Linked DNA regions of Kluyveromyces lactis. The protein of the gene in region 1 purifies or fractionates together with the protein of each later gene. This does not show direct contact. Links are inferred from orthologs where the notes say so. Each region holds a gene or a part of one and is shown in the gene's direction. Other genes may lie near its edges.

Region 1 (5,729 bases):
ACAAGTGAAATAGGTGAATACGTTTGCGAACATGAATTGGTCAAGAAGATCACTTTCACTGGCTCAACTAAAATCGGTCAATTGTTAATGGGACAATCAAGCAAGGGAAAGAATATCAAGAAATTCTCTATGGAATTGGGGGGTAATGCACCATATATCGTCTTCAAGGACGCTGACTTAGACCGTGCCTTAGATGGAATAATCGGATGTAAATTCAGACAATCCGGACAAACTTGTATCTGTGCAAACAGAATCTTTGTGCATGAAGATCTTTACGATGAATTCAGTAAGAGGTTGGTTGATAAGATCGACAAAACCTTTAAATTAGGCGATGGGTTCCAAGACGGTGTCACTCACGGTCCATTGATCCATGACAAATCCATTGACAAAGTCGCATCTTTAGTTCAGGATGCAAAAACGAAGGGAGCAGACGTCTTGATAGGTGGCTCAAGAGCTAGTTCTTTAGGTCCATTATTCTACCAACCAACAGTACTTGGTAATGTAACCGAGTCCATGGATATATTTTATGAAGAAATCTTTGGACCTGTTGCTCCATTAATTAAGTTTAAGGATGTGGATGAAGTCATCAAACGTGCTAATGACACGGATGTCGGTTTAGCAGGCTACTTCTACAGTCAAAATATTAGCACCATTTTTGATGCCGCAGAGAAACTAAATGTTGGTATGGTTGGTGTCAACACTGGAGAAATCAGTGAACCTGCAGTACCTTTCGGTGGTGTTAAGAATTCAGGTTTAGGTAAAGAAGGTTCTAAGTATGGTATCGATGATTACACTGAATTGAAGGCCATCATTGTGGCACCATAGACAATTCACTTTGAAAAACTCTTATATCTACTAAAATGAAGTCTATTCGGATATGCAAGTTATCTCATATGTTATATAAAACTAACACCTTTTTGAATACATACATGTGTAAATGAAAAGTTTAGAGTAGAAGCTCGAGATATCCCTCTTATTGACAATAAATTCTTCTAAATGTAGCAATGTATATAACATATCCACATTTAAAGTTTATGATGATTAAATGTCGTAACAAGAGTTCATTTTTTCTGAGTATCAAAAAACTGCTTGATATCAGATTCACTAACGACCTTATCGTTTTCCGCAAATGGTCGTAGGAAATCTGTTAGTTTTGATTTTATTTGCTGGAAAGCGACTAGACTGGCTAGAGTTTGCTGATGAGACAAGTTTTGAGCTAGGGCCGTTTCTCCCATTTCTACAAGAGATCCTTGCTCTTGTTCCTCCGGGGGTTCATAAACTTTCTCTTCACAAGTGAGGAATGGTGCTGTGTGCATGAAAAAGCTTTTCAAGGAGTCACCTTCTGGAAGTGAATCCCTTAATCGTTTAAATTCTTCCCTATATCCTTCTTTCAAGAATAATGAATATGAACCCGAAGAGTTTTCCATTTCTTCTAGCCCTCTTTTCTTGGTACTTTCCAATGTCATTCCCTCGGAGTTCTGATCCGATACCAGATCTCTCCTGTACACTTTATGTGCTATGATTTTATCACACGCTTCGTGTGATAAAAGCTTTTCAAATATCGAGCTGTACTTGTCAATACAAACCCATGAGATAAATCCTTCGAAACTTGACAGTTCAGGGAATCCTGGTAGCTTTCTGTCTTCTGTAACCGGGTCTGGGTTTTCTTCTATCCCTAGAATGCAGTGATCATGAAACCAGTCCTCATTGCACTCCAAGCCAAGGACGCATTGTAACATCGTTGTCGTTGTATTCGGGTCATACTCTCTATGGCAAGAGCAAAATAACCCTTTGAAATTCTGGCCATACCTGTTACTCATGTCTGGTATATCTGGTGTAGTATTCTTTCTTATATTACAAGGTGTGAACTTCTCACCGTGTTCAAACTGCCTTTCTGTACCGCAATCGCAACTGAAATTCCTCTTATCGAAAAGTTCCACCAAGTCACAGGTACTGTGACACTGAATAGAGCATGAATAGCACACTCCTATACTGTTGCAAGTACGACATGCGAATATTGGCTGTCGAATTGGGCCCATGGAATAAGTGCAATGGCTTGGATCATATGGCATCAGTTTATTTGCTTCATCTTCCAGTTCCTCCTGTCGCTTCACATATTCTTTAACGCTAATCTCGCTCATTCCCTAACACCAACAAGACTATCTTTAAGTGCCAGAACTCACCTTGTAGTAAGAAATGCGTGAATGAAGGTACCCTTTTTGCCTTTAACTTGACGTGTTCCTTATGTTTAAATTTGGGGATATTTCATTGATAGTAAGAGATTTTCCATGTCGATGAATCAATATTCCGTATGATTTTACGTCAATATCGACACATTTGGACGGTTACCGGATGGAAATCGATCTAATATGGGGCACAAAATGCATCACATCATTCCAGAGCTTCAACATCCATACTTTACCTGCAATTGTGTTGCTTCATCGTGTGATTGGAGCTATAAGTACGGTTTTTAAGCGTATGATCCCATGTGATTATCACGTGATCCACGCATCATAATAAAGAAATTATACTAATCAAATGTAGATTGCAAAGCTAAAAGAGGTGAGAACTACCGATTGGTGTTATTGGAATATTGCCATTGCTGTATTATTAGCCCCAACGCTCTACAATGGTCAGATCGTTGCAAAACACCATTTTAGGAAATGTTATTGTTTCAATTAAAGATCATTTTCGTACATTCAACTGAAGAAAAAAGCCGGAAAAAACGTTAAGATCTTAAGATAGCTTTAGATCCCAATGGTCTGAAACAAAGTGTAACAAGTAGGTCATCGAAGCATCAGGAAGACAATTGTGTGATCGGATTTGGTAGTGCGATAATTGAAGATTATTAATTGCTGTTTTTGAAAGTGTTTCAAGATGTCTGATAATGATGAAATAAATAACGGAAGGAGGAGAAGAAGAAGAGCTGATGATGATGAGGATGAGGATGATTCTTTGTCTACACAACCCCGTGAAGGTGGCGCTAACATCCCTAGTTCTCCACAGTTTGAAGACCCGCTTGGATCTCCAGATGAGATAGATTTTGAGAATCCAGATAACGATGGAGATGAAGCTGTCAATGTTCAAGAGGATCTTGAAGATGTGGAAGAAAGAATGAATGAAGTCGATTTGATGGGTGATGATATGTACCGTGATTACGCTTCAAACACAGAACATGATACGTATGAAAGAAGAGGAGTCGACGACCAGGAGCAGCAAGAGTTGTCGCTCGCTGAGCGTAGAAGAATCGATGCACAATTGAACGAGAGAGATCGTTTGGTGCATAGGAACACAGCATACCTTGATGATGATGATGGCGAAGGAGCTGGTGCGCATAATTTGGATGCTATGGGTCTTCCAGTACAGAGGAGACGTAGAAGACGTCAATACGAAGAAGCAGATGATGATTTGTTATCAGATATGGATATAGATCCGTTGGCAGATGAGCTCTCGTTGGAATCTTTGGCAGATGTGAAGGCATCAAGTTATTCTGAATGGATCACTCAACCGAATGTATCACGTACTATTGCCAGAGAGTTGAAATCGTTTTTGCTTGAATATACTGATGAGTCAGGTAAATCCGTTTACGGTGCTCGTATCAGAACTCTCGGTGAAATGAACTCTGAATCCTTGGAAGTTAATTATAGACATTTGGTAGAATCCAAGGCCATTCTAGCCCTATTTTTAGCCAAATCTCCCGAAGAAATGTTGAAAATATTTGATACAGTGGCTATGGAAGCTACACAACTACACTATCCCGATTATACTCGTATTCACTCGGAAATTCACGTAAGAATCTCGGATTTCCCTAGTATATTGAACTTACGTGCTTTACGTGAAACTCATTTGAATTCTTTAGTTAGAGTTAGTGGTGTCGTGACAAGAAGAACTGGTGTCTTCCCACAACTTAAATACGTTAAATTCAACTGTTTGAAATGTGGTGCCACACTTGGGCCTTACTATCAGGATTCAAATGAAGAAATTAAAATCTCGTTCTGCACAAATTGTAGATCTAAGGGTCCCTTCAGAATTAATATGGAAAAAACTCTGTACCGTAATTACCAAAGAATCACCATCCAAGAATCACCAGGGTCTGTTCCAGCCGGTAGATTACCACGTCACAGAGAAGTCATTTTGTTGTGGGACTTGGTTGATATCGCAAAACCTGGTGAAGAAGTCGAAGTGACAGGAATCTATAAGAACACATATGACGGTAATTTGAATGCAAAGAACGGGTTCCCCGTTTTCGCAACAGTACTGGAAGCCAATTCAGTGAAGAGAAGAGAAGGCGGATTGCATGATGGTGATGAACACGAAGGGCTGGATGCCTTCAGTTGGACAGAAGACGAAGAGCGTGAATTCAGAAAGATGTCTCGTGACAGAGGAATCATCGATAAAATCATTTCATCAATGGCTCCATCTATTTATGGGCACAGGGATATCAAGACAGCAATTGCATGTTCTTTATTCGGAGGTGTTCCTAAAAACATTAACGGTAAGCATTCCATCCGTGGTGACATAAACATTCTACTTCTCGGTGATCCAGGTACTGCCAAGTCCCAAATTTTGAAATACGTGGAAAAAACTGCCAACAGAGCTGTCTTCGCTACAGGTCAAGGTGCTTCTGCAGTCGGTTTGACAGCTTCTGTCAGGAAGGACCAAATAACTAAAGAGTGGACTCTTGAAGGTGGTGCGTTAGTGCTTGCGGATAAGGGTGTTTGTTTGATTGATGAATTCGATAAGATGAACGATCAGGATCGTACTTCTATTCACGAAGCAATGGAACAGCAAAGTATATCCATCTCTAAGGCAGGTATCGTTACCACGTTACAAGCCAGATGCTCTATTTTAGCTGCCGCCAACCCGATCGGTGGTCGTTACAACTCTACTCTTCCGTTATCACAAAATGTCAATTTGACTGAACCAATTTTGTCAAGATTCGATATCCTCTGCGTGGTAAGAGATTTGGTTGATGAAGAAAGTGATAATCGGCTAGCATCTTTCGTCGTTGATTCACATATCAGGTCTCATCCAGACAAGGATCTGGATGATTTTGATGATGGTAACGTTCCAACGGAAAATCCTAATGGGGAGGGTGATGAAGAAACTCCGTTATCTGCCAAACAAAGACGCTTGCAGAACCTTCGTAAAAGAGAAGAAGAAATTTCGCCCATATCTCAGCATATGCTAATGAAGTATATTCATTACGCAAGAACTAAAGTTTACCCTAAGTTACATCAAATGGATATGGACAAAGTGAGTAGGGTTTATGCTGATTTGAGACGAGAGAGTGTCACTACTGGTTCATTCCCGATCACCGTTCGTCATTTGGAATCTATCTTAAGAATTGCTGAAGCCTTCGCGAAAATGAGATTATCAGAATTCGTTTCCTCATGGGATTTAGACAGAGCAATTAAAGTAACAGTGGACAGTTTTGTGGGTGCACAAAAGATTAGTGTACGTCGCCAACTACAAAGATCTTTCGCTGTTTATACTATGGGAACAATGTGAAATCAAGATTCAACATTTCCAACGGAAGAAAACAATTCTATAAGCTCAGAACAACAATATACCGTTCCCATTTTTTCCATTATAGATGCAGTACTACATCGCTTATATTAGCATAATATACAAATTTGTAACTAATAGACTTAAATAATGATTACTTCAACCTTCAAAGGAATACCGCTTTTATAATTTCATGTAGAAGTCTATAACTGATAATGTGG
Region 2 (6,104 bases), on another chromosome or scaffold:
TGAGCCAATTCCACGAACAGTTTGATGGAGCAGCCACTGAGGTGAAACATCTTGGCATTATAGATTACGAATTGTTCTACAAGAGGGTAAGTTTAGACGCTAAGAAACAGGTGAGCACTGAGCAAGATGATATAGCGACGTACAATGACCCATACCAAAAACATAGTCCCCAATATTGTAAAGCAATTGCAGATTTTGTCCCAACAGAAGAAGACTCTGAAAATAGTTTGTCTCTTCGAAAGGAAGATGTGATTAAGATCTACAGGAAGGAAGCCGAAGTCTGGTGGTACGGACAATCACTACGTACCAATAAAATCGGCTACTTTCCAGTACAATGCACTACAATGGAACATATTTGAGTAACCGGATATACCTTCATCCGGAAACCTCTACATTATCGTAAATTTGTTTCTACCTCAATAGCAAAATGTTTGTATTAGCACCGCATATCTATTAGAATTTAGTGTGTGATCATGTGACTGTGACGTTTGTTAAGTTTTAAGGGAATAAATAGATGGCATTTGATCAGTAGGTTCCTTTTGCACATTCCTGAAGTATATAAACAGACAGTTCGTGAATAGTTTATACAAATCCTCACCATCATTGAATTAGAGTGTAGTACCTGATAGGTAAGAAAGTGTTTTTCTGTGAATCATAAGAAGAATATCAAACTCCAAGATATTATAATCCGGTGTAAAAATGTCTGTCGAAATCAAATCCTTTGAACTTTCCGATCCATTAACTGCTAGCTTGAAAGGTTTTGCAGACACTAATCCCAATGTTGAGTTGATCTTGAAAGAGAAGATCATCTTCCGAAACACCGAAAAAGACAAGGTAGCTTTAATTTCTGGTGGCGGTTGCGGTCACGAGCCTACCCATGCTGGTTTTGTCGGTAAAGGATGTTTGAGTGCTGCTGTATGTGGTGATATCTTTGCATCTCCATCAACCAAACAGATCTTAAATGCTATTAAAATTGTTTCGAAGAACAGTAACGGAGTTCTATTAATTGTTAAGAACTATACGGGCGATGTATTACATTTCGGTTTGGCTGCTGAAAGGGCCAGAGCCCTTGGAATTAATTGCTCTGTTGCTGTTATTGGAGATGACGTTGCTGTTGGTCGTAACAAAGGTGGGTTAGTCGGTAGAAGAGCTCTAGCAGGAACTACCTTGGTTCATAAAATTGTCGGTGCATTTGCTGAGAAGTATTCAGGCAAGTATGGTCTCGATGGTGTCAGCAAGGTAGCTCAAGTCATCAATGAAAATCTAGTTACGATTGGCTCATCATTAGATCATTGTAAGGTACCAGGAAGACCATTTGAGACGGAATTAAATGAAAAGCAAATGGAAGTCGGTATGGGTATCCATAATGAACCAGGTGTTCAAGTCTTGGACAGCATTCCACCTTTGGAGCAGTTGATTGAGAAATATATGCTACCCAAGTTACTTGATTCAGAGGATGAAGACAGACATTTTGTATCTTTTGATAAAAAAGACGAGGTAGTTCTCCTTGTCAACAATTTAGGTGGTGTGTCTAACTTCATCTTAACTGCCATCGTTGATATCACGAAATCTTTTTTACAAAAGAATTATGACATTACTCCAGTTCAAAGTATTTGCGGAACTTTAATGACATCTTTCAATGGAAATGGATTCAGTATCACGTTGTTCAATGCGTCAAAGTCATCTGGAGCTATCAAGAAGGAGTTCAGCGAAGTAAAATCTGTGCTTGACTTATTAAACGACCATACAGAGGCGCCAGCATGGCCAATAAAAGATGTCGAAATGGGTAAATCTCCTACATATGACGAGGGTATTCTCGAGGATGTTATTGACGTTAAAAAGGCTGGAACATACGACTTCGAGAAATTATCGGAGCTGTTGAAGGCAGGTGCCGATCAATTGATTAAAAGTGAACCTCATATTACACATTTGGATAACCAAGTTGGTGACGGTGACTGTGGTTATACGTTAGTAGCTGGCGCTAAGGCAATCACTGAAAACTTGGATAAAATATCCTCCAAGTATTTGTCTCAGACCCTTGCAGAAATTTCTGATCATATTGAATCCGCAATGGGTGGTACATCCGGTGGTTTGTACTCTATATTCATTTCGGGCCTTTCAAAAGGAATTATTGAACAATGCGGAGAAAATGATGCGGTGGACAAAGAAGCCTTCGCCAAATCGCTAGAAGTTGCATACGAGACATTGTGTAAATATACTAGAGCTAGGCCAGGTGATTCTACTATGATCGATGCCTTGGAGCCATTCGTGAAAGAGTTTAGTTCAACTCAGGACTTCCATAAGGCCTTTTCCAAGGCGGAAGGAGGTGCAGAATCTACAGGAAACTTAGAAGCCAAGTTCGGCCGTGCATCTTACGTGGAAGACACTGAAGCAATTCCGGACCCAGGAGCTATCGGTTTGGTCGAATTCCTCAGGGGTGTTGATTCCAAATTGTAGATTCATTTTCAAATGAGCTGCCTCCTTTATTCTTTCCACCTAGTTATTATTTTATAACAAACTATATACAGCTTCCTACATTAACCAAATTTATGACCTAGCGGTAATTGCAGTATCATACATTGTTCCTCCGGCAACAGGGGGGTGGGCCTCGACCTGATAGTTCTTCGTGTGTAAAAACTGTCTCTTTTCCGTTCACTCCCCCATCTTACCTCTTGTCAACGTGACGCGAATTGGAAACTTTACTAGAAATGAAAATGAAAAATCGCCAAAGTGTTTAAGATGTTGTTAAAACATGAACAAATAAGAAGACATATGAAACCGTTAACGGTAGGCAGAGTTGTTAGCCCATAGTTTACGTTAGACAGGTCAGTATTACTGAAATCTAGTGATCTTCGTCTTGGATACCTACTTTTTATTTCTTATATTGGGATAGTGGAGAATGAGTACAGATTTCGATAGAATTTATTACAACCAATCCAAGCTCGGTGGACGTTTCCGTCTAGCTGAAGGAGGTCTTGGTTGGAAGGCATCCGCTACAGGTGGGTCAGCCTCTACTCAAAATAATGAACCTTTGCTATTGGCTGCAGATGAGGTTTCTTCCGTTCAATGGAGTAGAGGATGTAGAGGCTACGAATTGAAAATTAGTACTAAGAATAAGGGATTGATTCAAATGGATGGGTTCCAACAAGAGGATTTCAACCTATTGAAGAATGACTTCCAACGTAGATTCAACATGCAATTAGAGCACAGGGAACATTCTTTACGTGGTTGGAATTGGGGTAAATTGGACTTAGCTAGAAACGAAATGGTTTTTTCATTGAACGGTAAGCCAACTTTTGAAATCCCTTACACGCACATCAATAACACTAATTTAACAGCAAAAAATGAGATTGCATTAGAATTTGACACCCAAAATGAGGCATATAATCCTGCAGGTGATGAACTTGTTGAAATGAGGTTATATGTTCCAGGCACAGTTGAAGAAAATGAAGATCAAGATCAAATCATGGTAAAGGACGAAGCAGAAGCAGAAGACGGTGTTAAGTCGGAGGTTAAGACGGAAGAGGGTAGTGAAGAACCAGACGTTCAAGAAGAGAAGACTTTAGCAGAATATTTCTACGAAGAATTGAGATCTAAGGCAGATATCGGTGAAATTTCTGGTGATGCCATCATTTCTTTCCAGGATCTGTTCTTCACTACGCCAAGAGGCCGTTACGACATTGATATCTACAAAAACTCTATCAGACTTAGAGGTAAGACTTATGAGTACAAGTTACAACATCGTCAAATAAACAGAATCTTCTCTTTGCCAAAAGCTGACGACATCCATTACTTGATGGTTTTATCGATTGATCCACCAATCCGTCAAGGTCAGACATCCTACCCATTCTTGGTGTTACAATTCCAGAAGGACGAGGAAACAGAAGTCCAACTAAATGTGGAAGATGATGAGTTCGAAAAGCTTTACAAGGATAAACTAAAGAAACAATACGATGCTAAAACTCACATTGTACTAAGTCATGTCTTAAAGGGTTTGACAGGAAGAAGAGTCATTGTTCCTGGTGAATACAAGTCTAAGTATGACCAATGCGCGGTATCCTGTTCATACAAAGTCAATGAAGGCCACTTATACCCATTGGACAATGCGTTTTTGTTCTTGACGAAACCAACCCTATATATACCCTTCCAAGATATTGCTGCGGTCAATATTTCAAGAGCTGGTCAGACATCTACATCAGCCAGAACATTCGATTTGGAAGTTGTTATGCGTGCCAATAGAGGTACTACTACTTTTGCTAATATTTCTAAAGAGGAACAACAACTTCTAGAGACATTCTTGAGGTCCAAAAACTTGAGGGTAAAGAACGAAGATAAGGAAGCAGAACAGAGACTGCAGACTGCCTTCGGCTCAGACAGCGATGATGATGATGTAGATATTAACATGGGTTCTGCAGGTGAGGATGAAGAATCTGTAGATGAAGATTTCCATGCGTCCGACGAAGATGACGATGTCGCTGAAGAATTTGATTCAGAAGCATCCGCCTCCGATTCAGAAGGTGAAACCTCAAAGTCTGAAAGACCTTCCAAGAAAGCCAAGTTGGAATGAAAAACTCATATATCATGTATTAGTACAAATAAATAAATAAAAAACTATATACACTCCTCGCGGTATTTGTCGAATAATGTGTCTTTCTTTTGTTTGATTGACTAGTTCTTTAATTTTTAGTACATCTAAATGGCTTGACAAAAGAATAAGGGTCCCATCCAGAGAACTAAACTTCAAAGGGTTGAGAGAAGGATAATTTTGCTAAGCCCGTAAAAGTATCGACTGCTTTTTTCATGCTTCAATCATTTAATGGTTCTGTAAGAGTTATTCTATGACTTCTGGTGAAAGATCCTTAAATCAAGAACTAGAATGATGAAATGAATGCACAAAGAAATTTTGATCCAAGATAACTCGCTTCATACATTCGAGGTATATTAGATATTAGTATGATAGCTACAGACGGTACCTTAACTATAGAATATATCATAGAGATTCCTGGAGTTGACGAATTGTCCGGGAATAGTTTCTTTTTCACTATAAGAAAAGATTCATAGCTAAACGACAATGAAGGGTCGGAATTGACTTTGAACTCAGCATGAATGACTCAGGATGACATGACAAATATAGATAAATACATGGCAAGCGAGTTTGGTAAAACGTGTGTTGAAGACAAAATTCCATTGGTTTAAATTATTCCTGATAGTTGTCACATGCTGCTCTTTCGACTTTGACCAGCGAAGAAAACATCTATACCAGTCATGATGCTAACCAGTGAGATACTTCTCTGAACATCAAAGGTGAGCAGGGATCTCGTTGTATGAAATGACCGAACTTCAACTGTTGCATTTGTATTGAATAGAGAAAAGGTTCTAAAATGGTAAAACTTCCCTGTACTAAGCCTTGTTGTGTGGAGAAAGCCTGAAGGAATTTTATCATACTATGATTGATGAGGAAAGAATTGAAAATGTATGATGTCCTGAATGCTCATATAATCCTATCGACCTTAGTGCTTTTGATAAATTTGATAGTTTGGAAGATGCATTGTTTGCTCCCGCTCTTCCCTACGGTTTCTTCGAAGGATTATATTAACTGATGCTGACATTATTAGCTACGGAACGTTGCACAAGCCAGGTGCCTTGTTGAAATATACCAGTACAATCCTTATTCATGTGATATATATTCTAGGTGAGATGCTCGGTGTGTTAATGATACGTTGGATGAAACATTGTACGCTGTAAGGCGTATGATATAGTGTTTTGTTCTAATTGTTTGCACGCATGGCACGGCAAACACAACCAATGTGGAATACCAAAGGCGATAACGGTAGCATTTTTGGAAGAATATGCAGATGAAACTGTGCCTCTAGAACAAAAAAGCGGCTCGAAATAATGAAATTCTGCTGAAGAACAATGGAATTTGAAGTAGATGCGTATTTAGCGAAACAAATGTTGGAATTAGTCCTGCCGGAAAAGGACTTGAATATGCAGTAATGTCCGAAATATGAAACAATCGTATAAAAATTGGAAGGATGTAACAAGATGAGTTGTTATGTCTGCATGATGCCGTTTCGTTTCTTCTGTGTTATTGCCTTGAACCC

The links.
Region 2: the proteins of MCM2 (region 1) and POB3 purify together in Saccharomyces cerevisiae (affinity purification with mass spectrometry; 3 studies listed by BioGRID, with this or other methods). This does not show direct contact. The link is inferred for Kluyveromyces lactis from reciprocal best matches to the Saccharomyces cerevisiae genes MCM2 and POB3.

What each region holds. Positions count from the first base shown.
Region 1 is NC_006042.1:1,165,492-1,171,220, reverse strand, and holds MCM2 (MCM DNA helicase complex subunit MCM2), read left to right. Parts: upstream 1-2,877; coding exon 2,878-5,511; downstream 5,512-5,729. Other genes in the region: KLLA0_F12628g (NAD-dependent succinate-semialdehyde dehydrogenase), read left to right, coding at 1-825; KLLA0_F12606g (uncharacterized protein), read right to left, coding at 1,062-2,141. UniProt on the Saccharomyces cerevisiae protein: Acts as a component of the MCM2-7 complex (MCM complex) which is the putative replicative helicase essential for 'once per cell cycle' DNA replication initiation and elongation in eukaryotic cells.
Region 2 is NC_006038.1:443,233-449,336, forward strand, and holds POB3 (FACT complex subunit POB3), read left to right. Parts: upstream 1-2,899; coding exon 2,900-4,567; downstream 4,568-6,104. Other genes in the region: KLLA0_B04862g (BAR and SH3 domain-containing protein), read left to right, coding at 1-359; DAK1 (dihydroxyacetone kinase), read left to right, coding at 700-2,457. UniProt on the Saccharomyces cerevisiae protein: Component of the FACT complex, a general chromatin factor that acts to reorganize nucleosomes. The FACT complex is involved in multiple processes that require DNA as a template such as mRNA elongation, DNA replication and DNA repair.